4 linked regions of the Struthio camelus genome follow. The protein of the gene in region 4 purifies or fractionates together with the protein of the main gene of each other region. This does not show direct contact. Links are inferred from orthologs where the notes say so. Each region holds a gene or a part of one and is shown on either strand. Other genes may lie near its edges. The genes, in order: CAPZA1, TOB1, CAPZA2 and CNOT1.

Region 1 (7,439 bases), on a different chromosome or scaffold from region 4:
ACTGTTCATCAACAGTCTGTTTAAATCAGACCTCTGCACTGGTTGTGAAGAATAATTCAGGTTTTCAGCATCATATTGTTAATTATTTAATAAGTGTGAGATCTTAAAATATTTCAGGATCCTGATGCACGACCACCCTTAAAGCCAACAGAGAGAGCACAATATAAAAAGAAAAAAAGACCTATTCACTCAACACATCTATTAAACCACCTAAGTAGTAGAGAAAGGCTATTGTTTCACAAGGCAGTTCACACAATAGCTTGTGCTATATTGAATATATTAAAAATATCCACGTTACACATTCCATATAGATATATATATATCTCTCTCATACATACATCACTGGTACCTGTATCTGAAGGCCGAAGGGCATCCGTATCACATGTGAAAAAGTTTTGATGATCTTGAGCTGACAAATTCATGTCATAATATGTAAGAGGCTCCTTCCCAGTCACCCACATGTATCTTTAACAAGAGAAATTTCAGTAAAATGTACTGCTAGTAAACAGTAATGCTGATGCCAAAGGATAATACCTGATGCGCTTGACTGAAGCTAGTGCAGAAACGTTATTAATAAAAGAGTGGGCTACTAACCAGAAGTTTTCAAGTACTACTGCTCCATAATCTGTACAGGTTGCCAGAAGGCTTCCTGCAGAGGAAAAAAAAAGTCTTTTTGATCCTGAAGTTCTAAGAGACTTGGGACTGGCTACCTAAGAAGCACCTTTTCCTATGAAATAGCACAGAGATTTACAGCACAGCTAAATTAGTTTAAAAAGGGATATTTCAGATTTAGAATCATGGTCTCAAATGCAGAATAAAATAACTCAACAGCTGTGAGACCATGATTTTCCCAGAGTTTTCTGAAAAAAAGAACGAAATAAATCCAATTATAATCTTCTCCTACTTTACTCTGAAAAGCCGGTGATGTTTACAGTGACGTTTGCATTCTTAACACTGAAACTGCCAAAGTCTGGGTAGGTGCTTTTTAAACACAGGATTGGCATCAATCCAAACTTCAACCCTATAATCTTGTAGGTCTTAACTGTCTCCCAGTAGTACTACTGCAAGCTCTGGGAACATGTCATAAATACATTCCAGATTAATTTCAAAACCATGCAATGAAAAATAAGATTATTAATACCTGCTATATTCTGCCCCTCTGAAAAGATTGAGAGGATTTCGCCACACTTTGCACTCTGAAAATGATTAAAAAAAAAAAAAGTACTTTTGGAATTAAGAGCACAAGAAATACTACCTTGACTTTAAAATATAGCAACTACATAGTTTTACTTCAGCAACAACTGGTTTTAATTTGAGATTTATAGCCTCATCTCAATTATGATTTTTATAAACATATATATATACACACACACACACGATCTTTTTCTGCGTCCTAGAGCTTCTGCTGTCCCACGGGTTTCCCCCTCCCTCCCCCCCCAGAATTTCCATCATACAAAAGCACATGGTGGAAAAATTAAACTCTGCCATTCACAATCATGCATTGTTTACCTTGTACGTATTTAGAATAGCAAAAAATCTAACCTTACTGAAACAGTTTTAGCTAAACGTGTAATACATTTTCAAAATGATGCTTTTAATAACGAATGTTTTAAATCAAAGATACTATGTAATATATTACGTATCATTTAATTTCTTTTACCGTTATTGATAAAATACATTGGTAAAGCGTAAGCCTTTCTCCAGTTACTATAAGCACTAATGCAGAATCAAAACCACTCAAAAGAAAAGTAAATTCACTTGAACAAGGCCTTCTTGAAGCTCCAGGAAAATTGTAGGGACACTAACAATCACCTGGCATATTCTGCCTGTTTGTCTCATGCTCTCCACTGTTAGCTGAGAACACTACTGGTGCTGGAGGGCTGCTTTCTACTCCACCAATGAGGGGCCTCAAATGACTCACAGATACCTGCTCAATGAAAGATGTGCCGTATTTTCGGAAATGCCACCACTCAAACACCTGTCATAAGAGTAAAAAAAGCACCAGAAATTTTCTTAGGCAACACCCTTCCAATATAAACATAAGAGATGAAGAGTAAACTCAACAGCAAGGACAGACTCTTGAAAATGACTACAGATAGAACTTATCTACGTACAAATTAACACCAATTAACTGTTTCATGCCTGTCTTGTCATGCAAGATCTCCCACATAACATGAAAGAGACTGAAAAAAAACACAGTAAAATTTTCAAACATATGTTCCTCCCTCCCCAAGTCATTAAGCTAAATTCTAAACCCTTTCAGAAGGTGTCTGGATCTTTTAAGACCAAAGTGTGCAGTACAGGGAAACTAGAGACAGAGGCAAGAATCACACAGTGGGCGTAGCTTTTTCATTTAATAAAATGAATCTAAAAATAAGGCACAAAATGGATGGTTGAACTGAGATGTTCTGCCAGTCAAAGTTCAAAGGGGGAAGTCTTAAGTAACAGTAATCTCGTTCACTTACTAGAAATTTTGGATCAAAAGCATTACTGTCTTTCTTTTTTATGCTATTAAAAATATCTGCACACGTATAATACAGTCCTCAAGCACTATATTACATTGTCAGCCCTGGACAAACTTATCGGAGTACTTCCACTAGCATGCAGAAAAGAGTCATGTTCAAACAAATGGCACTCCTTGGTAAGAAACATTACTACAAATAGTTGCTAACCAAAAATCACTCTTTTTCTTTTAGGAAACGTATTTAGCATAATTCCCATATACATGTGTGTGTGTGCATGCTTGTATATATGTACACACATACGTACACACTTCAAACAAGCCTGAATTCCTAAAACAGATACAGATTACTTAGGCTTCATAGTAAGAGAGCGCTTATAATACACCAGAAGAGATACTAAACAGTAAGTTCCTTTGTAGTACAAAGGCACCCTCTAGAGCCTGTTCAAAAAAAAAAAGGAAGTTTATTGCATTTCACCTTAACAAGTTCAAAAGCTGTTAAACAAAAAAAAAAAAAAAGGGGGGGGGGGGGCCAAGAGTGGACTACTTACAAATATCAGTCCAGAAATAAAAGATGAAGTCACAGTAAGCGCAAAGTAGAATTTTGGTGTCAAAGTGCTTAAGAACACAGTCACTGTCAAGAGAAACAAAACTAAAAAGTTTATAAGCAGAACCAAAAAATACAAATAAATTGTTTTTAAACAAACAATACTGTATAAAATACTACGCAAACATAGTATTGTGACATAGCCTTAGTATCTTCATAGATAATGGTTATTTTGTTAGTGAATCCTTTTCATCTGTCACTCTCTTGTCAAAATTGTCTGTAACATTAGTTAGGCTATACATGCAACTCAAAACCTCTTTGTAAATTCTTGGATAAAGAAAGCTATGACTTGGACTATCTGCATGGCTGGTGAGTAATAAGAAGCCATTTTAATGTATTATTTCATTTTAATCTAAAACTGAAAAGTATTGCTTTGATGCAAGCCTCTACTCCGTGTTAACAAGGACGCTGAGGGAGTTTACTTTTTTTAAAAGGCATATTCTTGTGCAACACTAAAACAAAGACGCAAAAGACAACAAAAAGTGAACTAAAATTAATATATATTATACTATCGGAGAGTACATCGTATTAACGTATTCTGTCTTCTACGTTTTACACGGATTCGCTCTCCTGGCATTTACAGGAAAATGCAGTTTTCCATTACCGCTCCGACCGTGATTTCCAACTAGAACTACAGGAAAGCTTTTCCAGCTGTCAGCCTGCGCTGCGAGCGGGGCCGAGGCAGGAGGAGGGCCGAGACCCGGGCAGGGCAGGGCACCGCCAGCCGCGGAGCCCAGCGGCCGCGCTCAAACTCAAGTTAGTGATATCGCTGGGCTGGAAATATCGCCTCCCCCCCCCAAACCCAGCCCCCGCGCAGGCGGCCTGGGCGGGGACGGGCCCCGCCGCGCCTCACCGCCCGCCAGGCCGTCGCGGAGCCGCAGCGGCACCCGCAGCACCGCGTAGAAGAAGCCGAGGCCGGCGGCTGCCGCCAGCAGCCCGCGGGCCCAGGGCGCCGCCGCCGCCGCCCGCCGCCGCAGCTGCTCCCAGCGCCCCAGCGCCGCGCCGCCGCCGCCGCCCGGGCCCGCCGCCGCCGCCGCCCGCCCGGGCCCGCCGCCGTCCGCCATGGCTGCCGCGCCGCCGGGGCACGACGGGATAGGGGCGGACCGCACGACGGGGCGGGGCGGGCCGCGGCTGGGCGCGGCCTCCCTCTCCCTCTGCCGCGCGGCTGCCGGCGCGGGGAACCCCGGTCGCGGGGCTGCGCCTCGGCCCCAGCTCCTGCACCCCCCGGCCGCGGGCGGGCGGGCGGCCAACTCCCGCGCTGCCCGCTCCGGCCCCGGCCAGCCTGCCCGCCGGTAAGATGGCGGCGCCCGCCCACAGCCAACATGGCGCGGGCGGCGCTTCCGGCCCAGCCCCGGCGCCGCCGCCGCTGCTGCCCGGCGCTCCCGGCATGCTGCGCGCGGGCCGGGCCCAGAGCTGCCAAAATGGCCGACTTCGAGGAGCGGGTGTCGGACGAGGAGAAGGTAGGGACGGGGCCGCCGCCGCCCCCCCGCCCCGGCAGCCCCCCCGGCGGTGCCCCCGCCTCCCCGCCGGCAGGGCTGCGCCGGGCCGGACCGGGGCGGCGGCGGCCCCTCCGAGCGCGGGCGCTGCGCCGCGGCGGGCCCGGCCCGGCCCCTCGCTAGGCCCGGGAGCGCCGCCGGGCGGCCCAAGCAGGGGCGAAGGGCTCGTTTTTCAACGCGACGCCTCACGGCTTAGCCCTAGCTCAGGCGTCCCTCCGCGGTTAGGGGGGGCGCAAACACGTTATCTCCCCCCCCCCCCCCGCAGCTGCCGTCGCGTCTGCTAGACCAACGACGTTAGCAGCCCCTTACAGGCGCTTTGGGGAGCCTCTTCGGCTCCAAATCGCGAGGACCTTCAAAACGTGTCTTCACGTTTTCTGCTTACCCCACGTGCTACTGTTATCTTTGCTGCAGATCATAAAAATTTTATTGGATGGTGGGGCCTAAGCAGGAACAAATAAAGAAACTTTCACTTTTAGAAGCTGGAGAAATAAACAGATTATTCCTCCTGCACAGGAATAGGGAAAAGTCCCCATCTTACAGACAGCACTAGGGCTTACATAACAAATGAGGGGATAGCTTTTTCTGCAAGTCCGTAGACATGAGATGCATACAAGTGATAGTTAACAAAAAATTCTGGAGTTATTCTTCTTTAAATCACAAAAATATATATAGCTTTTTGGTTTTTTAAATGTGCTGAAGTGGCTTATCAAGGCTCATAGGTCTTCCAGGATCATGCAAGCCTGGAGTCTACTTCCATTTGCCTCTCAAACTGCCATTTTCAGCTTCATTGTAGTGACGTTCCTCCTGAAGGAACCAGATAGGGCCTCAGGGTGCAATTCCCCCGCTAATATTCCTGTAAGTATGGAACTAGGTTTGTGCTCTGGTTATGTACCCAGTTACCGTAAAACAAAACTAATAGGATACAGGAACCATATTTGTTCTGAGAATTTTCTGCTGTCCTTAAGCTACTAGTTATTCATCTTCAGCTGGCCAGGCAAGTGTTCCTGGTGTGTTTCATTGCAAAATAAGAGACCACTTTAGCCAAACTACTGTAGAAAGCAGCTCATCCGCCTTGCTTTTCATTGGAAGGACCAAATGTTCACAGGAGGCAGGGAATAACATTTATTATAGACACTATGCTGCATAAGCCAATTTTTACATCAATATTTATAGCTTAGCCTGTGTTAACCAAGTAACTGATGACTTAGCTTAGCATGTTCTTGTGATACAATCCAAGAAGTTTAAAAGCTGTAGTTAGACTCAAAATGTTAGTTAAGATCACATGAGCATTGTTTGAAATGAGTACTGCAGAACATAAAGTCCAAAGGAATTAGCACATAACTGAAAATTATTCAAGGACAACAGATAAAATATACATTTTATACAGCATTTGGCTGAATTTCATTCTAGCTTCTGACATTGAGGTCATCGTTACATTTGATGTGAAAATTAGAACAAAGGTAAAGCTTTATCATGCTGGGAGTTATGCTGGTACAGCTTTTGAGAATGAGAGAGAGGTGAAGTAAGTTGCCTTTGGTAATCTAGCAAGTTATTAACAGAGCTAGAAGAACTGGAGTCCCTGTTTGTAGGCTATATCTAAACTATACTCTTAGCCTAGTTAATTTAGGCTGAGAATAAGTCTCTGCTGCAAGAACCTGGGGTCACTAGGTCTTTCTTTCCCCTCCTACTGCTGCATTCACTTGGAATCTACAATTCTTTGAAAGTACTTATGGGAACACCTGTCCTTCAGAAAGACAGAACTGTATGTAACCAAGGACTTTATTTGGCAGAGCAGATGGGATTTTGCTTGAAATTGGAGCTTGTGTTCTACTTTGTGTCCGCGCTCAGGCAACGTAGTGTGAATTTAAAGTAGTTCCATGCTCAGAACAGATAGAAAGGGATACTCTTCAGGCAGGTTTATGAAAAAAGACTTGCAGCCAAGATTTTTCTAGCATGCATTTGACAGTCATTCGGACAAGTCTACAACTGTTTTACATTTCCTTTAAGTCTTGAATTTGCCAGTGCTTTAAGAAAAAGCAGAGAAACCAGCAATCAAAAACAAAATGAATTGTTGCTCTTCCCTTCCATGAGCCTCAGTTCTTTACTCTCTGTAGGCACGTTAGGTAAGCTCAGGATCCACGCTAGTTCAGGGCCTACCAGAACGTACCTTATTGCCTATATAAGTTGCTTCTGCTGCTGTTTTGTTGGCTTGAACCGATGATTGAGTAGCCTCCCTGTTACTTTCCCCATTTTATGGAAAGGAAGTTAGTTTCTGTTAGCGTACTGCAGCACTACCCAAAATGGTAATGATGAGCCAGGAAATAGGTCAGCTTGCAGAAAGTCTTTTCATGCTTCTGCAAGTGAACATCCTGCCAGCGTGCTGACACCATTTTGAGACAAATCAGCTCTGAACGTGACACGCAACAACAATTCAAATGCTTGACATCAATCATTTTACTCCATACAGCCTGTTTCCCACACTCCACTCTTGATTTCAGTAGGTTGACTGAAATGCTTTATATTTTGTTGCTCCAGAGGAAAGGCATGTCTAGTGAGTAATACTTTATAGAAGTAACCAACTTCCAGTTGCAGTGTTTACTTTGTTCATGGCTGTTTGTGATGTTTGTTTGAAATATGGAGCCCTTACTGTATTGATTTAATTTCACTCATCTTCCCACAATGGAAACATTTCTGCAAGACTGTAGAAGTCTCCCCTGCAAGGTTTGAGGCACATTGAAACACCCTCTTAAAAAACAGTCAAGCTTTTGACCTAAAAGTCCTCCATGTATTAAAAGGGTAGTCTCCTTTACAAGGATTCCATATACAGAACTATTCTGCAGCCACAACATTGATGCATAAATAGAGATCGTTAAGT
Region 2 (7,163 bases), on a different chromosome or scaffold from region 4:
CACACACACACACACCTCCTGCTCTGTGCACTCCTGCCTTGGCATAAAAACTCGCACCGAGCCAGTGAGCTGCTCCTCATCGGTGGTAACCGTTTGCCCGTTTGCCCCTTCACATAGTTACAGAGGAGCTTGGGGCTTCCCTAGCAGATGACCTGGCTTGCTACTGCAGGGGCAATGCCCCACCAACGTCTCTGTTTGGGCTGAATGCCTCTGCTCTTGGTCATTCTTGATTCCATTAAAACAATGTTACATTCAGGCTCCTACCATGGTTCCCACCTGAACAGTCCTTGTAGCCACAGAGCTCCTGAAGCTGGGCAACATCTGATATGTATTTACATATTCCATAACGTATATTAATAGGAAAAATACTGCTTAAGCTGGTAAATGAAATGTAAGAGAATCTATGCTACATTTCAAAATTATTGTTAAGGGCAGATATGTGTGGGAGAGCAGCCAGGATTGGTTGTTCACACTGGTAGATAATAGGGAAAAGGAACGAGTGGTAAAATCTGCAAATGGATAAAATCGGGATAGAGAGGGAAGAATACAGGGGAAAAAATTTCCACTTCTTCAAAATCAAAGCCAAGGCTCCCACGCGCATTGTGCTCCTAAATAGGAAAATGTTAAAAAAGAGACTGTACCATATTCAGAAATGTACCTTGCAAAGCTTTAGGTCCATGGTCAGGATAAATGTTATATATTCTGTAAAGGGTAACATTCATATACTAGAGAAGATGAAAAGGACAGAGATGGGTGATGAAAATTCTGCATCTTACTTGCTACTTCTCTTAAATTCTTGTCCAGGTTGACTCTGATGATTAAACATTTTCCTGGATATTTTTAATCCCCTTAAAAAACTTTCGAGATTAATAAACTCTATTTTGGTATTAGGTAATATATTGGTCATCATCTAATACCGATTTAGATTTTTAAAAGAAGCAAGTTTACATTGCTTAAGTGAAGAAAAGGAGGTCCTTTTGTAGAGTCATTACACATCCATTACTAGGAAGCCAAACAGCACTGGGGTAGTTCACGTGAACCAGGACCGGAACATGACGAGAAGTGGGCGAAGGCCAAATGTGTGTGTTGATGGAGCCCTGTGTCCTTACAGAGACCTGGAGTCCTTTTAATTTCCTCGACTGCTATTTTCTGCCTGTAACGAGGTCTGAACCATTTGTGAAATGCAGTTTGGGTTAGGCCTTTTGAGACACCCCTGCTTTCTCTCCAAGCAGTTCCTAAGCATCTGGGCATTGCACGGTTCATGGTCCCCTCTGGTCCAGAGGACGTAGGTCTCTGACAACCCGGAGATCTTGGCTCTACAATTTCAGACTGCAGAGACCTAGACTGTTGAAACTATTTCAGTTTCTGGTGCTTGGAAATATGACGGCCACCACAGACTAGGCTATGAACAGAGGGTGAGCTCACAGCCCTTCTAGTTTAATACAGATTAAGGAAGGCCCCTTCCTTCTAATCTCGCTGTTGCCTCCCTGCAGTGGTCTGAAATACTTCTGTTGATTTGCTCTGCTAGAGAGACAGACTGTCAAGGTTTGTCAGGAAAGATGAGAATATATAGGTATTTTCTTTTAAGATTAATCTTTCAGTTGAAGAGAGTTGGCAAGAGGAGTAACATTTTGCTGCTGGAGTTGTTATTTTGTATTGATTGCATTTTTAAAGATTTTGCTACCAGGGAGAGGTAGACATTTTGTTATTGCTGTGTATTAATCAAAAGGACTGAAAAATATTGCAGGCCCTATTTTGACTTCTTTTCCTGCTTTGACTTCTTAGAAGTCAGTTGAGGTTTTAAGGACAGGAGCGATACTGGATTAGACGCTGTGTTTTTAAGTGCTAGAAACTTAACATTAATAAAGTTTGACCAACTACTTTTGATGTGTTATACATGGGAGACACATCTCTGCAGTTTAAAAGTCAGAATTTTCTTTTTGAACAAATGAGGACAGACTAAAACTTTCATTGGACCTTTAGAAGTGAGCTTCCTTCTTGCTGACCTGAAGAGATTGTTCTTAAGGCAATCACCTGTCTTAACACAGTATGTCAGATTTTTTTTCAGTTCTATGCAATTTTAGCATTACTGCATTGGAAGTTTCCTTTACACAAGCCATAAAAAGGTACACCACCGTTTTTACAGCTTTGAAGGCTCCCACAGCAGCCTTAATTAAAAATATATTTGCTTTGTATATTCAGTTCAGCCCCTAATGCTTTTCACGTAGTGTTGAAGTCATTTAAAAGAAAGTCTCTGCTTTTATAACCTTTCATCTTTTCTTTTTACCAACTCAGCTGCACAGTCATTTCGTTTTTAAAGCTACTTAGTAAATCTCACCTGAAAAAATTGATCCACGGAGCTGTGCAGTTTCTGCCCTTCAAAGGGAAATCTGCTACCGCCAGCCCCACTCACTGCAGAACCCCGAGCAAAGTAACACGTTGAACTCTCTGAAAGAGCTGATGTTATCTGCCAATTTGTTCAATGTTTGTTGTACCAAGTAGACTTCTAATTTTAAAAACCCGTGTTTGTCTCTTCACCTTATCTGTTATTAATAGTTATTTCACGTTGTCTCTTAACTTTGGTGGTAGAAGTAACGACAACCTTTTCAAAACAAAGAATCCAAGATTTCCATATGGCTCCTTGGCTGTGCAGCAACAATTCTCAGGAGTAGTCTCCAGGTTGCCAATGTTTATAGTTTTGTAATCCTCATCATACTTTAGTTTCTTAAACTTTCAACTTTGGGGGCATGGTGATGACAGGACTCAATTCCCATTGAAAAGATGCACGTTAAGGTTAAAAAAGAATGGAAAATAACGGGGAAAAAGGCTATTTTGAGTCTGAACTATTAAGTTGTCTGCGTTCGCAGTATCGCAGTCCTAAAAACACTGATCTTAACACTTCTGAATAAAACTACATGTTTTATGATGAGTAAGGCCTTCTAGTAGAAATTTTTTCAGTTGTAGAAAATCCCAAGCATTACCCTTTGTATCTTGCTTCCTTAACATTTCATTTTTCAAGTGCCTGCCTCGTGCACGGTGCCACATATAGTCTAAACTCCCAAGGGTTAAAGTCCTGGCATTTCTTCTGACTGGTATTTCCAAATCTCTCCCGGGGCCCATGCTGCTTTTATGCCAAAAAACACTTTATTATTATACAAACACAGCAGAGGAGGAGGAGGAGGAGGAAAAAAGCCTTTGCCTGTGTTTTGTCCTCTACGACCGGGCCCTGCTCGCTGGTTTGAAGCTAACCACCCCAACTCAAAACCCAGTAACACCCACGAGCCGTATGTAAAGGGCAAAAACCAGCGACGGTGTTAAGCAGCCGCAGGCCGAGGGCCTGGGCGCCGCCGCCGCCGGGCCGGGTCTCCCGCGGGGCCGCAGCGCCGGGCCGGTGGCGCCGCCGGTTATTCCTGAGGGAAGCGAGGCCCGCGCGAGGCCCGGTCCCCCCGCCGCGGCCGGCGCTGCCCGGGGCTCGGTCGGGCTGAGCCCGGCGGAGGCCCCGTGCCGGCGGCTGCCGCCTCGCCTCGCCTCGCCGCGGACCCGCCGCCGGGGTTTTTCCACGGCGCTGAGGCGACGGCTGCGCCATGTTCCCCCTCCTTCGCCGCCCCCTTTTCCCCCCCCCGGGTAACTTTTGTTTTCCCCCAAAACTGGGGTTTGACGTATTCCTCCTCGATACCGAGTGACCAATCAGGCGGTTACTAAGGCGGGAAGCCAGCCAATCGGTCAGCGTTGCTACCTGTGGGTAGTATTTTTAGCCGCAGCGGGCGGGCGGGGGGAGGGGGAGGGTGACAGCGGCGGAGGCTCCGCGCCCCCCCCCCCCCCATCGTGAGGGCGGCAGCGCCCGGTACCGGCGGCCGCCGCCGCAGCGGGGCTCGTCGTCCCCTGGTCCGCGGGCCGCCTGACCCCGCCAGCCGCTGCCGCTGGCTCGGCGACGGAGCGAGCGGCCGCCGGGCTGCTGGCCGCGAGGGGCTGTGAGGCGCCCTCGCCCCCCGGCGGGCGGGCGGCCGGCGGTCCCCGAGGGCCGGCCCCGCCCGGGTCCCCGCCGGCGCCGCAGCGGCGGTCATGGGAGATGTAGTTCAGCGCGGCCCCCCCTCTGCCCCCCCCTTCCCTGCAGAGACGAGGGGCGCGAGGGCAGGGTTTGACGTAGGCAGTGACGCAACCGTGTTGTGAGGTGAGGAGCGAGTTGACGTAGAGAGCGGCCCCTCCACGCCGCGGTGGGGGGGAGGGGAGGCAGGCGAGAGCCGGCGCGCGGGGGGGCGCTGAGGGAGCCTTCTCCGCGCTGGGGGCGGGGCCAGGCAGGTGGTGGGCGTGGCGTGGCGGGACGCTGCTGGGAGGGCGTTGGCTGGTGGGCGGGGCTGGGCGGGGCGTGTGGGCGGGGCTCTGCGGTGGGCGGGGGAAGGGAGGCCATATATAGGGGCGCGTCGGGCGGCGGGGCAGTAGCAGAAGGAGCCGAGCTGCGGCGGCCGAGTGCGCCCGTTGTGGGGGTGTGAGCAGCGCAGCCCTCCCCCCCTTTTCCCTCCCCCCCCTTTTTTTTTTCCAACCCTCCCCCTCCCTCTTCTTTTTTTTTTTTTTTGATCTTCTTTCCTTTCCCCTCCCATCCTCGCTGAGGGAGCCGGCTCTCGGAGATGGGGGTCGGGTGCTGAGCCGCCCCCCTCCCCCCTCGCCAGCACTCACACCCCCGCCGGGATTGTTTGCACTAACCCCCCCCACACACACACCCACCCCGGGTGAGTACCGCTCGCTGAGGGCGGGGGGGGGGGGGCGGCCCGGGCCGGAGCGGGGAGCCTTGGCGGGGAGCCCTGGGCTGAAGGCAGCCGGGGGCTGAGGCGGCCCTGCCGTGAGGCGAGGGGCTGAGGCGAGCACGGCCGCTGAGGCGAAGGGGCTGAGGCGGCCCCGCCGTGAGGCGAAGGGGCTGAGGCGAGGACGGCCGCTGAGGCGAGGGGCTGAGGCGGCCCCGCCGTGAGGCGAAGGGTGGGGGAGGGGCAGCGGTGCCGTGAGGGGCGCAGCGCTGTGGGGCGCCGGCCGACGCGGGAAGGAGGGCGCGGGGGCAGCCGGCAGCCCCTCGCAGAAGGGGCCGAGGGAAGGACGCGGCACCGGGCGCCGGGCTCCCGAAGGGTCCCTCCCTAGGCGGTCCCTGGACGCGCTCGCGGCTGGGAGGAGTGAGCGTTGCCGGCTGACTAATAGCCGCTGCTCGCGCTGGGCCTTCTCGGGCAGCGCTGGCAGCCGTCCTCCGGGAGCCTGCCTCGGCAGGGCGAGGCGGAGGGGTGTCGCTGAGCCCAGGCCGGTGCGGTGCGGAGGGGGGCCTCGCTAACCCCCACCCCTTCGTCCAGTCGTCTCCCTTCCCCTTCTTCGTTTTCTTTCTTACGGGCTCAGAAAACGCTCTTCCTCCTCCTGCTGTTGCTGGAGCTCCCAGGGCTGTGAGCAGAAATCTAATGAGACCCAACTGCCTGGTTATGTAACTCCCCACACGCTGCTTGCGGCTCCTGCTTTTAGCCCCCGCTGCCGTTGCTTTGCTGTTGGAGTCATTAATGTGCTTGGGTCCCTTAAAAATATTGTCCTCATCAATTAAAAAAAAAAAAGTTTGAAATGATCAAGCTGGTTTGTTTAATCAGCTGCTTTTCCGTGAATCAGTCTGGGGACTTAGAAGAATTTATTGTGTCTACCCAGTGCCTTGAAAGGATCATTTCTTTACTAAAGGACATGGAGGAGGGGAAACAAAACAGATGAATTAATAAATCATTTTTAAATATCCCTTTTAACCACCCAGTCAGCTTTTCTGTACTGAATGTGTCCCTTTTGTAAATATCTTCTGTTTGCCCTTGATCTTTTCCTTATCCCCACCCAGTGCTGATCCAGCAAACGTTTAAAGGTCGCCTTATCATACAAGCTTTCGAACTATTCCCATACCGTGTTGAGGGGAACACAAGTGGTTTGGAAATAGAGTTTCAGACTTTAAAAGGAGATTATGTGGAGCAAGAAAAAACAGCAACATTGTATTCACATTTTTATGGGATTTTGATATTGACTTTGACTTCTCTAATCTTTAGTCACACATATACTAAATTTTGTACTTAGTGATGCAGTGCAGAAAAGCACACCGCTAACCGAAATTCATGCCGAGTGTTTAACTTGAGCCAAAAAATACCCTTTTTTTTTTTTTAATGGAACTTCTTGTACAATGCTGTCTTCTTTGGACAAGTACCTTATGCTAAAGATTTTCATTAGCAGTGCATGTTCCAATATTTGATTCTAGTCCTTTCTTTAACTTTAGGTAGGTGATTTCTCTTTTGTCCTTTGTGAAGGAGTGACAACCATATTTTATATTTAAATATAAAATGGAGTCACGGAGAGGAAGAAAAGCAATTGTTTTGAGTGAGGCTATCAAAAGCCCTGCTGGCTCTAGTAACTTTCAGAAATCCTGACTGTAGACAATGTAAAATATGTAGTTGTATGCGTATATATTAAATATACATCTATCAAATGTAATATATGTATATAAAAGAACTACAGAAAGGGGAAAATTGTGAATTAATTTCTTGTAATGATTTAACAGTTATTGCCACCCCATCACAGAAAATGCATCCATATTTTGCATGCACTGATTGTATTATCATTTTATTAATTCTGAGGAAAGGAAAAATTCTTGTATATGTTCAGCAGACATTTTCTCTTCAGTTTGTGTAATTTCACCAGTGCACAGTTGATGTGGATGCTTGACTTGAACTTAAAATAAGTGCAGCACAATTTGAATTATTTGTGTGAAATCCTCTGAGGAAACTAATATGTTTGTAATTCTGTAACTTTAAAGGCAGCCAATGTGTTTGCAAACTTTAAAATGATAAATGACCCTTAGACTAAGACCTTTCATGCTAAACTAATAGCCTGGTGCTAAATTTTGCAGCTGAGTACTATAAATCATCCGAAATAGGGGTTGGTAATTGAACCCTTGACAGGCCTGGCAGTTCTGTGATGTCTTAGAAATTATACTTGCTGCTTTGTGAATAGCTAAACTGGAAGCTCATATGATTTTGAAATACCCTGTGCTGTATATATAAACACATGCCTAGTGCACCTTCTGCAGTATTGTTTCTAAGTCATATTGAATGTAGTTGACACCCTCACCTTTCACAGGCGTGAACAAAAGCAGTTTGATGCAATTGTTG
Region 3 (7,897 bases), on a different chromosome or scaffold from region 4:
TCTAAGAAGGTAGCTCAGTCTCAGGTTTTCTAAAGCTGCAGTTTATTATAGTTTTCTTCCTGTTACAGTTTTATTTCTAATACTATTGTAAGGATTTAACATTTTGCTTTTTTAGAATAAACCCATTTGCTTTCACTGTAAAGCTACTAAACTGCAAGTTTGCAAACATCAGATATTTTATTTCCCCAAAATAACAGATCCAAACTGGCAGGCAATCCCCAGGGCCCAAGTATCTGAGACATATTTGGGAATCTCAGCAAATCCAGAATGCATCCCCCCAACCTGCAGGGATCTGAGGATTTACACCACAAGGTGCCAGGATCTAGGGAGACACTTCCCACAGTAAGGAGCAGGGACAGACACAGCCTTCCAATTCATTCTGGATACTCCCAAATCACTGCCTGGAGCACTCTCTGAGAGGCTCAGAGCTTGCCTTGATTCCACCTTTGTCCTAGGAAACAAAACTTAGTACATCCTCCAGATTAAACAAGTGAACACTGAAGACACTTGACTTCATCAATTTGTGCTCTGAACAGACGCAGCAGGGATCAGATGTTGATCACTTGTCTTGAATGAGAAGAACGAAAATGTAATTTCATTTTTCTGCATTGTTTATCTTAACTGTTGGGGTCAGTGCAAAAGGACAGGAGAAGTATGCTCTCCTAACCCCCTCTGCCAAACTGACCACTTGCCAGTCATCAGGATCACTTTAGCACAGAAACCGCATTTCTCCCAAACCATTTTCACGGCTCTGCAGGGAGGCCTCACAGGAAGGCTTGCTGTGCTCTTCCTCCCATTGTAATCAAGGGCCAGGGTTCTGGACCTACAAAGTCATACATAGAAATGGAAGAAATAGTAGTGCAAAATATCAAGGTACAAGACTGGTAGATCTATCATGTTTGCTTAGATTAATTAGAACTCAAAAAGAAGTCTTTTTAAAATCAATTTGTTTTCTCTCTTTCTGTCAGTTAACCACACACTGCTCATCAGATAGGTTTGGCAGCCCACAGTGCGTTTCACGTAGTGTGACTAGACATCTATTAAGACATGAGCTAGCTAGTTAACAATACTGACGATATTTTGCTATACTTTATGTGACTGCAGTGCACATGAACTTTTCATTATTGTGTATAGACACTAGCATGTGAAAAACATAGCTGATGTGGGTGAACTTTATAGCAAAAAGATGAGCATGGCTAACTTTCAGCCAGTAGATCAATTCAGAATTGAGGTATTCAGAATTCAGTAAAGAGGTATGACTTCATATAAGATGCAGATATATTCTAAGCTAACTTGAGTATCAATGCTTCATCCTGCAGTCACTGAAAATAAATCATTTCCTAAGTCACCTCTTAGTCTTTTCTTCAATAATCTCCTTAATTGGACCTCCTTAAGCCTCACATCCTGAAATTTGTTGTATATCCTCAGGATCATTTTTGGTCTTCCTTTAAACACTCTCCAAGATTTCCACATTCTTTCTGAAAAGGCACACCAGCCCTTCACAACAACACTGAGTCACAAAGCGAGAGCCCTACTTAATCCTGCTGAATTACTGCTTTCCCATTAAGTCCTAAGGTCACATTAAAGCACCTGCCAGAGTGCCACATTGAAGATTCCCTTTAATATCTGTCGTGACTGCACAATTCTTCTCTAAGTCATTCACATCATCAAAGCGATTGCAGCAAATTTCAAGAAAAGACTCTGTGCAAACATTGTACATCGAATAGCCAGATATGTCATCTTAACGGAAAACTACTCATGTTTGTATGACAAGATCTACCTTATTGAATGAACCTCTTTTTACATTTTAAATATAGCAGTTTCCATGGTATATCCTAGTAACTGGGAAATCCCTAAGTTTGTTAAAAAATAACATGAGCATTTCACAGAGCTCTTCAGCTATTTACTCTAAGACTCTCGGGTGGAAGTTATCAATTCCTGCTTGAAACTGTTCAACAGATGTTGCTCATCGCTTCCTCCTGCTACAGACCACTAACTTTTATCACTGAGTCTAAGAAACATTATATGAGATGTTCCAAAACCAAATACCCATAGACCATGCCTTTTCTGCACTAGTCTTCATCATTTTGCATCTAGCAATGGCCTTATCAAATATAAGGTTTGCTTGCCCATTATTTTGTTCCTAACATGTCCGTTGTCTTTATCCTCAGTAACTACAGATATTTTATATATCTTTTCAACTTTCCTGAATAAGCCACATTGTCTAATTTGTACATTCATTGGTTTTTACTTTTATATCTTTTGTTTATATATTGATTTATGGTGTCATCATAATTTCCACATACCCCTTTGACTGCAATGACTTCTTGTCCAATATCACTTTCTTTCACTTGCATGCAACGAACATTTTAAGGCACCTAGAGTGACAGCCTTGAAAGATTATACAAATTTGGGGAATATTTTGCTATATTGCATGTGACTACATCAACTATTGTGTATGGATACTCATGCAAAAAAAACACATCTTGTGGATGTACTTTATAGCATAACAAGATCTGTCGGCTAGAAGTTGGCTACATTCACACCATTAATCATGCTCTACTCACATGTACCTTGGCATCTCTGAATTTTCAAGTCAATGATCAGCTCTTCTTTGTTCACCTTGAAGTACACCATGCTTGACATTAAGAAACTAATATTTTATAAAGATTAGCAAAGAGTTATTACTGGACATACAATCCTTCCACCATATTTCCTTCAGTCTGAAGTAACAGTAACAAAGTTCCTTACATATTAGGAGCAGATATTTAAGAAGTTCACCTCACTCTCTAGCAAGATTGGGTGGTCCACAGCAGACTATCTTTCACTGAATGAACTAGAACTTCAATCTACAAATAATTAAGAACCTATTCTTCTGAAATGTCTCTGACCACTACAGGCCTCTCCAGTATAATACACTAGTCCTTTTACTCTTTCTGTCCTTAGGACCAAGGTCTGAACTATTGATTTCAATAGCCCAGGCACAAGACCTGACCAAATAATGTTGTTATACTAATCGTATCATCTTTCTCAAGCTCCAAATTGTCTTGTGCATTTTAGGTTCCTAGCATTAATGCACAGTAAACTGCAGGATGTATCCTTTACAAATAACTGGGCTCATTTCGTAATGCTTTGGAGTTGTCATATATTAGCATGTGGTGTAAGGATATCTCTGGCATTAGTCTCCCCTTTTCATTTTATTCTCTCAGCTGCCCTTGCTAGTTTATCATCCAGGAAATTGCTACTCATACTAGTAAGATGAAGACTATAGCCACCCAGTTCTATTCAGTTTATTCTACTGTTCCATAAAACCCAAACGTCCTACTTGGCTAAGTTAAATACTTCCCACGTACTTTCTACTTCTGATCAAGGAAGAGGAAGGAGTTCTTGAACAGGTCATCTGACTGTTCTCCTCCTTCGGTTTCTTTTTTAGGCCTCTAAAATTGTTCAGCTTCTGTACAGTGGAGTCTATTGCTATCGCACTGTTGCCAGAATGGATCATTATTAAAACAGCTTCTCCTGCTTACCTGTTTTACCAGTCTGACCTTATGTTTGCTCCTGTAAGAAAACAAAATTTCCTGCTGTCTATCAGACCCTTGAAGAATAGTTTGACAACCCTTGTTAGGAGGGAGTCACCGAGGAGGACTGTCTTCCTAGCCACAATACTGGCAGCTGAGGAAACATTCCCAAGAAGTATCAGTATGTATTTGCCTTGTTTTTTCACCATTCCCTGGGCACCTGCTACTGGTCACACTGTTGGCACAGGTTATTGAATTTCACTCGTCCAAAATCCCCACTGCTAGCTACACAAATGTTCTCTTTCTTCTATTACTGCTTTTCTCTAAAGTTTGTTTTATTACCTCTTCTTTCAGTCAGTTCTTAAAAGCCATCATCTTCAAATATCCCTCTGGGCACCTGCAGTTCCACGCAGCCAGAAGATATTCTTCAGGTTTCTTATTTTGGTGGTAAGAAATTTCCAGCCTATCTAAAGGTTTCTTATTTTGGTGGTAAGAAATTTCCAGCCTATCTAATGTTGTTTCTTCTGGTTAACTACACTCATTTTATTCATCCAATCCAAGAGTACCAACCACTTTACAAGGTCGACTTTCTCGGTCTTTGCTGTTGGCACCGAACGGAACTTTCTGAAGTTTCTTCCAGCAAACTTCATGAAATTCCAGCAAACATTCTGTTGTTTGAAACTTGCCTCCATGCAAATTCCCAGCCCCGCCCCCTCCTAGCCATAGGAGACGCTAACCCGCATTAGGCATGCTGCTGAGCGGATGTCAGAAATCTGGCAATCTGTAGTTCTTTCCACCCACACAGACTTCCAGTGGACTCATTCAAGTGACTCACTTTAGCACCCAGGAAAAGCAGGCGCGGCGCGGGCCGGCGCGCTGCTCGTCCCTCACTCGGGGGACGCTCAGCGGGGCGCAGCGCCCCGGGGCAGCCCTCGCCCCCGCGGCCGGCCCACCCAGCGCCCACCACCATTTGAAACAGGCCAAGTCACAGCCCAGGCTGGACCCACAACTCCGGCCCGCCCGAGCGCCCCCGGCCGCGGGGGGCGGGGATGGGGACGGCGATGGCGGCGAGGGCTGCGGGCCTCCTCTGTCCCGGCGGCCAGCGCCGACCGCAGCCGCACCGCCACGGCGCTGCCCTCCGCCTCCCTCAGCGCCGGGCCCCCCCGCGGCCCCTCCCGCCCCACGGCGGCGGCCCAGGCCAACGCTAACAGCGTGAGGCCCGGCCCGGCCCGGCCCGGCCGCCCCCTCCCCTCCTCCGGCCGCCCCGCAGCGGGACCCCCGCCCCCCGGCCCCGGGCTCGGCCCCGGGCCCGGGCCAGGCGCATGCGCAGTCACGGCGCCTCCCCAGCGGGCCGCGGTGGGGGGGAGGGGGCGCGGGGCCCCGCCCTTCCTGCCTGGGAGGGAGGAGACGGGGACGGGGGCGGCGGCCGGAGCGGCGCTGTTCGGAGCCAGACGGGAAGATGGCGGACCTGGAGGAGCAGCTGTCCGATGAGGAGAAGGTAGGGGCGAGCGGGCGGGCCGCTGCGCCGCAGCCGAGCCGGCGCGCCCCTTTTGCCTCCTCGCTCCTCGAGCCGCGAGGCGAGCTCGGCCCTCGCCGTTTGGGGTCGCCAGCAGCCGCGGCGTTTCGTATTTTTAGCTTCTCCCTGCGCCGGGGCCTGTCAGTCAGGGGGGCGGGAGGAGGGTCGGCGGGGGCAGGGCCGCGCCGGGCATCCCCCGCCGCTCCTTGTACGGTGCGAGCCCGGCGGGCAGGAGCCGGGCCCGGCGGGGGGCGGGATCCGGTGTCCGGCGGCGGCCGGCAGGGCAGGGCAGGGCGGGGAGCGGCCGCCGGGCAGGGGGCCGAGCGGGCACCGCAGAGAGAGGGGGGGGAAAGCCACGCAGGGACCGTCCTCTGCTCTGCTCTCCCCTCCCCTCCCCTTCCCCCATCTCCACTTCCCGTTTCTGCGGCCCCTTCCCGGTGCCAGCTGGCCGCTCCGGAGCGCCAGCGCTGCTCCCCGCCGAGGGGGGCTGTGCCCCGGCCCTAGCTCCAGCGCAGGCCCGCGGTGTCGTCGTCCCCTCGCTCACCTCCCGCGGTCTCCGGGAGGAGCTGGGATACGGGAGATCTGGGGGAGGAGGTCGGCGCTGGGGGTGGGCAGCCCTGTACTTCCTCTTAAGGGACAGCAGTTGGGGAAGTCTGAGGTCAGGGAGCAGGCGGTTTGTGTTAACGAGCTGCGTGCAGTCTCTGCTTATGGCTCTTGGAAACGTCGTCAAGTTTAAGACGGATTTTCCTGAAAATCTCTCAAAGAGTGGGGTGTCTTGTAATACCCCGATTATCAGTGCTCCTTATCTTCTGTTGGATCCAGGGTCATGGCAGTTGCCTGCTTCAGAGCTAGGGTGTGGTAGTTTGTGTACATGATGGTGCACTGCCCATATCTTTATGTAATGCATGGTGTCATTTATTTCTGATTAAAAACATAGGTTTATATGGCTGTAGAAGCTGTTGAGATGATTTAAACGTGGGAGACATCAACGAAACAATGCTTTACACTTCTCTGAAGTTAGAAGAAGGATGTTTGAAATGTCTAATTGGTGGTGACAACAAGGCAGGCTTTCTGCGTGTTTGAGGTTAACATTGCCAAGTTTCAGAACAAGAGATGCACCGATGTGCTAAGAGACACATAGCTTCAGGATCTCGCTAGCCCAACATGAGGCTTTAAAACTGTGTCCTGCTCTACCTAATTCATATTCGAATACCATCTCTGTGTTGGTACGAGTAGGAATGTAACCAAGAAATATATGTGGCAGTCCATTATTTTGTCCTGTAGGAACTTCTACAAAATAACTCTAATCCATTGTGTTGTGGATAGGGAGTGTACTTGAAAAAACTTTTAGTCAAAGTTATTTGTGGTACTGTAAGATACAGTGACAGTTCTATTTTGCCTCTGTATAAACTGAGAAGCACTACCCATGCTTCTGTGACTGTTATAGTTAAATACAGGACTTTCTTCTGTCCATTAATTGCAGGTTCCCTTTTCTCCCAAACCGAGTGCAAGCCTTCTAGAGTCTCTTTCTGCCTCAGCATAAGCGAATGGAGTCTGCACTTTTCCACTGTAAACTTAAACTGGCCACCTTGTCGAGTGCTCTGAGATCAGTGAAGGAAATCTTTTGTCTCCCATGTGCTCTATAAGTGTGATCTTTCTTACCCCTTGGTCCAGTCTTAGCTTAATGTTTTTCACTGTCTCATCTTAGAAGAAAGCAGAGGTGCAGTGCTCTCCTACCTCTTTGAAGTTTTAGCAACCCCGGCCAAAAAAAATAGCCCCTTTCTCCCCCACCCCGATCCTGCTAAATGCCAGCTTTACGGCCTTTTTTTCTTTTTCTTTCCCTTTTTTCAGTAATGATGCTATTAATTCCTTTGTCCACTTCAGTCACATATAAAATTGATTGTCCTACACCATTGGAATTTTCCAAGCCTGGCAATCTATTTAATTGGCTAATAAAACAAAGATGGGCAGTGCTGCAAACTCTTGCAAAAGCAGGAAAATGTCCATGCAGAACTTGTGATACCTAAGGATTTTCCGTTTCCATGGAAGAGGTGCTTGCAGTAGCTTCAGTTAATCTGAACATTTTAGAAGGTGTGTCAGGTTTAATGTATTTATCCATTCTAAAACAAGTGTTCACAGTGTACTGCAGCTCCCACCCGGTGTTCAGAAAGACTAGAGTCCTCAAAGTGTTGCGGACTTGTTTATGGCCTTATTTATGTTTACGCTTTGCCACTAAACTTATTTTGGATAGCCTTTTATTAATCTATTTGAAAGCACTGGTATATTGAAGTTCTGTGCTTTTTTACAGTACAAGGCTATACTGCTTAAACGTTTAATCCTTTTCTGATGGTATTAAACTGAAATCTAGATGAATGTGCACTATAAGTGGTTTAAATAAAGACAGTCAGTTTACAGTAAAGTTGTTTGTTTGTTTATTTCTCCTGAAAGTCACCATAATCTTAAGTGGACAGATTTACCCTCTATTAGGCTACTAAACAAGCACTACATAAGGAAAGAAATTTAGAAATACATATTCTTACGGCATGTCTTGGAGATGTTGAACCAAATTTCCTCAGTGTGCCTAATTGCTCATGTCTTAATTGAAATCTGTTATGAATGATGCAACAAATGTTTTTGAAATTAAAACTTGTCTAGCTCCGTACATGTTCAGTCATTCACTATTATGGAGCTAAAAAATTCTACTGAATAGCTTTTGAAAAGCACACTCTTCTCACCTATCCAGTTGGGACTATAATGCAAATTTAGGAGTAGAGGTAGACAAATGTTTATTTTTCAACAGGAACAAATCACACTGCTCCTCTCTACACTTGTCTCCCCCTGGTGTGAAACAGACTAATATTGA
Region 4 (6,841 bases):
GGGCTGAGGCAGGGGTGGGCAGCTCCCCACATGCCTGGTGCTCCCACAGGGCTGAATGTGGTGCTAGGATAGCACAGAAATGGGGTGGGATTTGGGGCCACAGAGGGGAAGGACGTTTTGTGGTCCCTCTTGGATTACACATGCTTGGTAGAGCAGGGCTCTGCTGGTAGGAGGTGGCACATGTTGTCCCTTATGTTTTATGTCCCCACCACATGGGATTAGACCTTGCGTCCATGCAGACCCTCAGGGAGCTACTCATACCGGGGGGTTGGATCCTTCTCAAGGCAATAGGGAACCCACCCAGGATATTATCAGTTCTCTGAGCACTGGGATGGACATACCTGCTGTGGCCTGGACGTAGCTCATGCTGCCTGCACGGCCCATCATGAAGAGGGGAGCATGCGGGGCTCTCCCTCCATGGGAACGACTCTCCTCCTCTTCCTCCTGCAGGGCTTCGGCATCAGCAATGGCATGAGCAGCTACAGTCTCAACGACCTGATGCTGATGGAGTTCTCCTGCTACCTCAGGATCATGGGGGATGAGTGAGTGGGGGAGAGCAGGACCTATCTCATCCATGGGCCACGGCTTAGCTGCCTGGGACCTGTGCAAGGAAGAGGCAAACAGCAGGTGCTGCAAATGGGGGAGAGCTGGGGGGAAAGGGAGAGCAAAGAATCCAGCTGTCTCCGGGTGCGTGGGGGACACAGGGCATGGGAGGAGGCATGTATGTGCCTCGCTGGGGCCCTTATGATGGAAATGCTCATCTCCGGTAGCGGTGGTGTGGCGTGTTCCTCCTCCACCATGTCCCATCTGGGGGTATCACCTCTCCCGCCTCTGCCCGCAGGTGTGAGCTTCGCTCAGCCAACACTGCCGTGCCAGTGGTGTCTGCAACTTCTTCAACAGCAATTAGAAGAGTGCCTGCATGGCCACGGTGAGCGGCGGGCTCTGCTCGGGGGTGCTCGGGGCACAGGAGGGGATGGGGCGGCTCAGTGTACGGCACGTCCCCTGACACCCACCTTGTGCAGAGTCCCTAGTGGCTCTGATGCATGCAGAGCCCTGACAGGGGGCTTCTCCCTGCCATGGGCTAAGCCCGGCCCTTCCCTCACGCTCTCCCAGATAAAGGAGGTGTACGGGATCATCTGTGGCATTGACCTCAACATTTACGATCTCTACGCCCCCTGCTATGGGGGGGGGGGGGGGCCGCTACCAGCAACGCTCCACGGCCAACTTCTCCAGCGTTTTGCACCGGGACCGTTTTAATGTCGAGGGGCTGCTGAGTAATCCCAGGCTGGGAACATGTCACTGCCAGCCTTGCACTCAGATTTATGCCAGCTGTGAACAGGCACCACTGCAGCTCTGCTGGGCCTGCCGTTAGCAGGCGGGGCGCGGGATTGCCCCTCCTGCCTCTGCGGAGGCCCTTGCCAGGCTTGGCGGTGCTGGGCAGGGAGCAGCACAGCCTGTCTGAGCCCCGACGCCCTTGTGACACTTGCAGGCAGGCAGGGGTGCTCTGCAAAGCCGGGGCATTGGGAGGGGGGGCCAGCTGCCTCTTCCTGGTAGGAACAGTTTGGGGTGCAAAAAGATAAAAAGAGGAGGAAGGAAGAATCTGTTGGAGCAAAGCGCTTTGCAGAGGAGAGCGGGATCGCCCCTCTGGTCCTTCTGCCTCATCCTCTTCCTCACACCCTTGTGCCCTGGAGAACGCCCACCACCAGGTCCTGGGGATGCCTGGGGACAGGCTGGCAGTCTGGATCTCAGGGTCCGGAGCCCAAGGTCCTCCTCCGGGGACGCAAAACAGGTGCCACAGGGGCTGAGGCATGGAGAGGAGGCAAGAAGGGAGCAAGCATAGTGCAAGCCCTGAAAGCAGAAATTCAGGGGATTAGAGAGAGAGAGAGAGAGGGGGGGGGGGGGCTCTGGGAGCAGGAAGGTCCAGAGGTGAAAAGCAGCCCTGAGGTCATTGCTGCAGCAGGTGCCTCTTCGTGCGGTCTGCTCCGTGTGCTCGTCGCCAGAAAGCCAGCTCCGTCCCTGGCGTGCCGGCCTGCCTCGACGCTGCGGCCATACACGTTGAGCTGAACTGTGTCGATGTCCAGGCAGCTCTGCACGTCACCCGCCACCTGCCCACCTGGGAGCTGTGCGGGTGAGGCGGCCGCCGCAGACTCCCACCACAGCTGCATTCGAAGGCCACTCTCTGGCTCTGCCAGCCCTGGTACTGCAGCGACTGGGTTGCTGGCTTCTCCCAAGAGTAGAAGAGAGCAACGTGAAGGTAGGTGCTGTCCCTGCGCGCAGGGCTGCCCCAGGGCCGGGAGGGGTGCTGGCCTGGCACCGCCCTGCGCCCTGATGGCACCTGTCGTTTCCCACCTGTGCGGGGTTTGGGGCACACGGTGCAACATGTCTGGCCTGGCCGGCTGCTGAAGATGTGCAAGAGTCTCCTGTCCAAGACCTCGCACGTGTGAGTGCCCTGCACTGCCTGCTGTGGGGTCAGGCCAGCTGCTTTGGGCACCCCGCCACCGCACGCTGCGGGGCAGGGGTTCAGCTCACCTGTCTGTGTATATGTACATAGGAATAAATGTGTTGAGTGGGCAAATGGAGCAGTGGTTTTGGCAGGGATGCCATGGGGGAAAGGCAGGGCAGCCCACCTCCCTTTCCCATGCAGGACAGGGCAGGGCCCAGCACAGCTGAGGTCTCTGGGGCAGGTTGGCACAAAATGGCCTCCGTGCGCACCCCTGGGAGGGAGCCTGGGCCACTGCACTGTGCGGGGGTGGGGGGTGCAAGTGCATGGAGCTGAGTTGCTGCACTGCGGGGAGTGCAGTGGGGGAATGCAGTGCATGTGGTGGGGGGAGTGCAGGGGGCCATACCACTGCACTGTGGGGGACATGCTGCAGTGTGTGGGGCTGTTGCACTGCCAGCCAAGGGGGAGTGCTGCAGTGTGCAGGGTCATGCCACCCAATTGCAAGGGGGATGCAGCGTTTAGGCCCCATACCAGTGGATTGCGAGGGGGGGGGTGCAGTGTGTGGGGCTGCAGCACTGGACTGTGTGGGTGTGGGGGAAGGCAGTGTGTGGGGCCCTATCAGCACAATGCAAGGGGGAGCTGCAGTGCATGTTGCTGAGGGGGAATGCAGCATGCGCGGCCGTACCACTACACTGTGGGGGGGGGCAGTCCAATGCTTGGGGCTGTACCACAGTCTTGAGGGGGGTGCTGCAGTGCTCTGCATGGAGGGTCTGGACCACAGCGGGCAGCGGGTGGGCCGTACCACTGCGTGTGCTCGCGGGGAGGGAAGCCGTCCCGGCGGCCGGCCCCGGCGAGGCGGGCTGCGTGGGTCCCCAGGCGCCCCCCACGCAGGCGGGTGGGCCCTTCCGGGGTGGCCGACACTAGTGCGGGGGGCGGGCGGGCGGAGGCGGTGCTCCCCCCCATGACTCCGCGCGCCCTTTGGCGCTCCCCTTCCACTTCCCCTTCCTGCCCCGCCCCCAGCGGAGCGCCCTGCGCTCATTGGACGGCCTTTCGAGCCTTCTCCTCCCCTTGCGAGCGCTGATTGGCAGCTTATTGCGCATGCTTCGGTCAGGATGCCTTCCGGCTCTGATTGGCCAAAGCTGTAGGAAGGACGCCTCCTCCTTTCGGCCAATCGGCGCTTGGCGCTTACTCCGCGCGGAAGGCCGGGGAGGGGGGAAGATGGGTGAACGTCCCCAAGAGGTCGCGCCGTGCTGATTGGGTAGACCGAGCGCGGCGACGCGCTCTGATTGGGTGAGCCCCTGGCGAGGGGGCGGGAGGCTAAGTGGCTGCTCCTCTCCCTCCACGCCTTCCCTCCCCCCCCCCGCTGCCGTGCCGCGAGGGGACGGGGGAGGGGAAAGGCCGCGACGTGAGCGCGCGACCCCGTCCGCCATTTTGTAGCGAAACCAGCGGAGGCGAGAGGATAAAAGCGCGAGCTGCCCCAGCCCCCCGCCTTGCTCCGGCCCTGACCCACCGCTTGAGGTGAGAGGTGCCCGCTGCGGCTGGCCTCGCTTCGGCCCGCGCCCCGGCAGTCCCAGTAGGCGGCGGGTGGGGGTGGGGTGGTGGTCGGAGCACCGGAGCCTCCGGCGCGAAGGGGGGCGGTGTCGGCGGTGACCCCCCCCCGCCTCTTCCCCCCCCCCCCCCAAGGGGGACTGGTGGGCCGTGGTGTGGGCCGCGGCGAGGCCAGGCCCCGGCGGCGGTGGGAGCAGGGTAGGAGGCGGCGGGGCCGGCAGGGGGAGCCCGCGGGGCCCGTCGTTTCCGGGGTGCGCGTGGTGCTGCCGCTGGGGCGCCCGAGGCCTGGCCTGCCCCGCTCCCTGCCCGCCACTGTCCCGGTCCTCGCGTCCCCGTTGCTGCCCTTGCCATTTCTCGAGCCGGCGTCCCGCTGAAGGAAGCAAAAGGCGAACAAACTTTCAAGGGTCTCACTTCCAAGGGTTTCGCCTCACTGTCGGCTTGGGCCGTGCATGGTGGTGATAACTGATGGGAGCCGCGAGTGTTTTCAGGTCCGCGGGATGCTGCTTGCGGTTCTCGGCGCAGGAAGAAAAGCTCCACGAACAGACTGCGTTTTGATCGCTTCGAGATGACAGCGAAGTCTTCAGCCATTTATTTTGTCTTTGTTTCTGTCTACTTTCTACTTCTGTAGAGTTGATCGTGAAAGGCGAAGCTGTGAGAAATTTGAAAAGGAGCAGGCGCTGGGCCTACCCATGAGTTAGATTTGGTGACCTCCTTAGAAGATCTGTGTTGTTGTGACTTGCCCAGTGAAAAAAAAGTAATGCGTAAACAGTGGAATATAGTAGTACAATCTGGTAGTATATCCTTGCTGCAGACTACACGGAAGAGATGCATCTCAGCACTGTCATCTCGTTAAGGGCACCCTGCATAGTAGCATAGACTTGCTTATTTGAAAACTAGGATTATCAACAGTTGGCTGTTTTGACAGATACTATTTTTTTAGAAATAGGTCCTTTGCAGTAGTTGTCTTACTCTGAGTTAGTGTTACATCCTCTGTATGGATTAAGGTTAGTGGTCAGTCACGATTTAATTTCAGCAGACCACAAATATTTTCTTAGGTTGTACTTCAAACAGAAATGAGATAATATGGAAAGTTTTTGTGTGTAAATATAATGAATAGGGACTCTTAGCCTCTCACTGTGTCACAAGTTTAGACAGTGTCTGTTTCTGAGTCTGACTTTTTAGAAGGAAGTACAACATATACTCCCTGTGCATCTTGGCTTCCTTTTTTTTTTTTTTTTTTTTTTTAAGCAGGTAACAAAACAGGTATGACATTTGACAAGTCATTCTTGAGGCATGTAACTTAAATGCTTCCTATTTCTAAGGTAACTGCGTTGTCATTGACTAAAACTACAGGTAGAGCTAGTCCAGATGAGGTAACTGTGTTGTAAGCAGGAAACAAAGTTAGCAGGTAATACATAGATGTGCTTGTCCCTTCTAGAATAGTTATTTCCTTGGTTCTTTTGTCCTTATGCTTATAAGTAGGCTTTTAACTACTGATCCCATTGTCCTGATATCCCTAAACCAAACTCTTAGTAAACTTGGTGTCTGCCTATCTCCCCTCTTTGGAGAAGGACCTAATCCTTTCTATTCTTCTGGCATAGTGTTCCGAGATACATAATACTTTTTTTTTTTTAATTGATGCTGAAATGGTTACTTTTGGTATTCAAGGCAATACTGAATAAGGTGGAACAGAGACTGTGCAGCTATTAATGAGCAAAAGTGGATAGTGAAGCTTTGTGACCCTGTGATTGGTCATCAATAAATAGTGGGAGAATTGTACCACTGAGAATCATCGTTGAAGTCAGATCTCTGTTTTGTTTCATAACCCTGGCTACTCTTACAAATAGTGCAGTTCTCATTTACTTCTTTGTTATAACACTTAACTGTTCTAAAACATTTTTTGGATGGAAAAAGCAGTCTACTGCCTTTGAGAATGGGTCCTTAATTTATCTAAAATGGAAACTTTATGCTGCAGTGCCTAACTGAAGGGAAAGGAGGATGTGAAAGTTTCTTGGATTTTTTTTTTTTTTTTAGTGTAAAATGTCCTTGTTGAGATGTGAAAATACCTTGTTGAGATGTGTAAAGTTGCCATGTCATGATGTATGCCTGATGTGTTTGAGGTAGGTTCTGCACCTGAAACTTAACTGGCCTTAACTCAGGAGCATAAGCATGTGTGCTTAGTTCAGCTGTTATCTCCAAATTAGTTACCATGTTTAATCAGCATCAGTGACTTCCAGTTGATTGGAGCTGTGTGTAGTTACACAGTAAACAGAATATTCAGGTGGTTCCTCTATGTGTAAATACCTAAATTTGAACAAGTGGAATTCAGCTGTAGCTTACTGTACTATTAATGTGACCAATGCTGTAAGGTTTTCCTTTGCGTAGTTTTCATAATGACTGCCTGTAATCTAACTTAACTGTAATGTGGTTTGAAACCTTCCCCCTCCTCCCTTTAGGAGTATTTCTAACATGGGTCTCTTGAAGCGTGCAGTTCTTTCATATTTTCTATTTGTGCATGGATTTTGCAGAAATGAGTAAGAGACTTATTCTGAAGAGCAGGTTAGTGGTGTTGCTCATAGTATATTTTAGAAGATGTTTTTTGACAGGAACTTATAACTTTACCAGTGAGCCTGATGCTCTTTCAGTCACTTGAGCTGTTTTACCCTCTGCATGGAATACACATGGCCTTAAATCTGTACAGCTCTTGAAACCCAATGGGAGTAAGTTATTTAGCTTTGCAAAATATTAACAAACCAAAGGCTAACTTAAAGAAGTTTTTAAAATGATTTTCTTTGTAAGGCTGTTTCTGAATATGTATAGAGGACTTCAGATTTGTTCATATCATCCTTTGTA

Evidence for each region.
Region 1: the proteins of CNOT1 (region 4) and CAPZA1 purify together in Homo sapiens (affinity purification with mass spectrometry; 3 studies listed by BioGRID and IntAct, with this or other methods). This does not show direct contact. The link is inferred for Struthio camelus from reciprocal best matches to the Homo sapiens genes CNOT1 and CAPZA1.
Region 2: the proteins of CNOT1 (region 4) and TOB1 purify together in Homo sapiens (co-immunoprecipitation; 3 studies listed by BioGRID and IntAct, counting the BioPlex papers as one, with this or other methods). This does not show direct contact. The link is inferred for Struthio camelus from reciprocal best matches to the Homo sapiens genes CNOT1 and TOB1.
Region 3: the proteins of CNOT1 (region 4) and CAPZA2 purify together in Homo sapiens (affinity purification with mass spectrometry; 3 studies listed by BioGRID and IntAct, counting the BioPlex papers as one, with this or other methods). This does not show direct contact. The link is inferred for Struthio camelus from reciprocal best matches to the Homo sapiens genes CNOT1 and CAPZA2.

Annotation. Positions count from the first base shown.
Region 1 is NC_090965.1:9,481,226-9,488,664, forward strand, and holds the start of CAPZA1 (F-actin-capping protein subunit alpha-1), read left to right. Parts: upstream 1-4,420; 5' UTR 4,421-4,489; coding exon 4,490-4,528; intron 4,529-7,439. Other genes in the region: ST7L (suppressor of tumorigenicity 7 protein-like), read right to left, coding at 350-465, 1,142-1,196, 1,813-1,819. UniProt on the Homo sapiens protein: F-actin-capping proteins bind in a Ca(2+)-independent manner to the fast growing ends of actin filaments (barbed end) thereby blocking the exchange of subunits at these ends.
Region 2 is NC_090960.1:7,337,992-7,345,154, forward strand, and holds the start of TOB1 (protein Tob1), read left to right. Parts: upstream 1-4,148; 5' UTR 4,149-4,171; intron 4,172-4,435; exon of another isoform or gene 4,436-4,727; intron 4,728-7,163. UniProt on the Homo sapiens protein: Anti-proliferative protein; the function is mediated by association with deadenylase subunits of the CCR4-NOT complex. Mediates CPEB3-accelerated mRNA deadenylation by binding to CPEB3 and recruiting CNOT7 which leads to target mRNA deadenylation and decay.
Region 3 is NC_090942.1:29,001,458-29,009,354, reverse strand, and holds the start of CAPZA2 (F-actin-capping protein subunit alpha-2), read left to right. Parts: upstream 1-4,887; 5' UTR 4,888-4,977; coding exon 4,978-5,016; intron 5,017-7,897. UniProt on the Homo sapiens protein: F-actin-capping proteins bind in a Ca(2+)-independent manner to the fast growing ends of actin filaments (barbed end) thereby blocking the exchange of subunits at these ends.
Region 4 is NC_090951.1:23,133,814-23,140,654, forward strand, and holds the start of CNOT1 (CCR4-NOT transcription complex subunit 1), read left to right. Parts: upstream 1-3,822; 5' UTR 3,823-3,958; intron 3,959-6,841.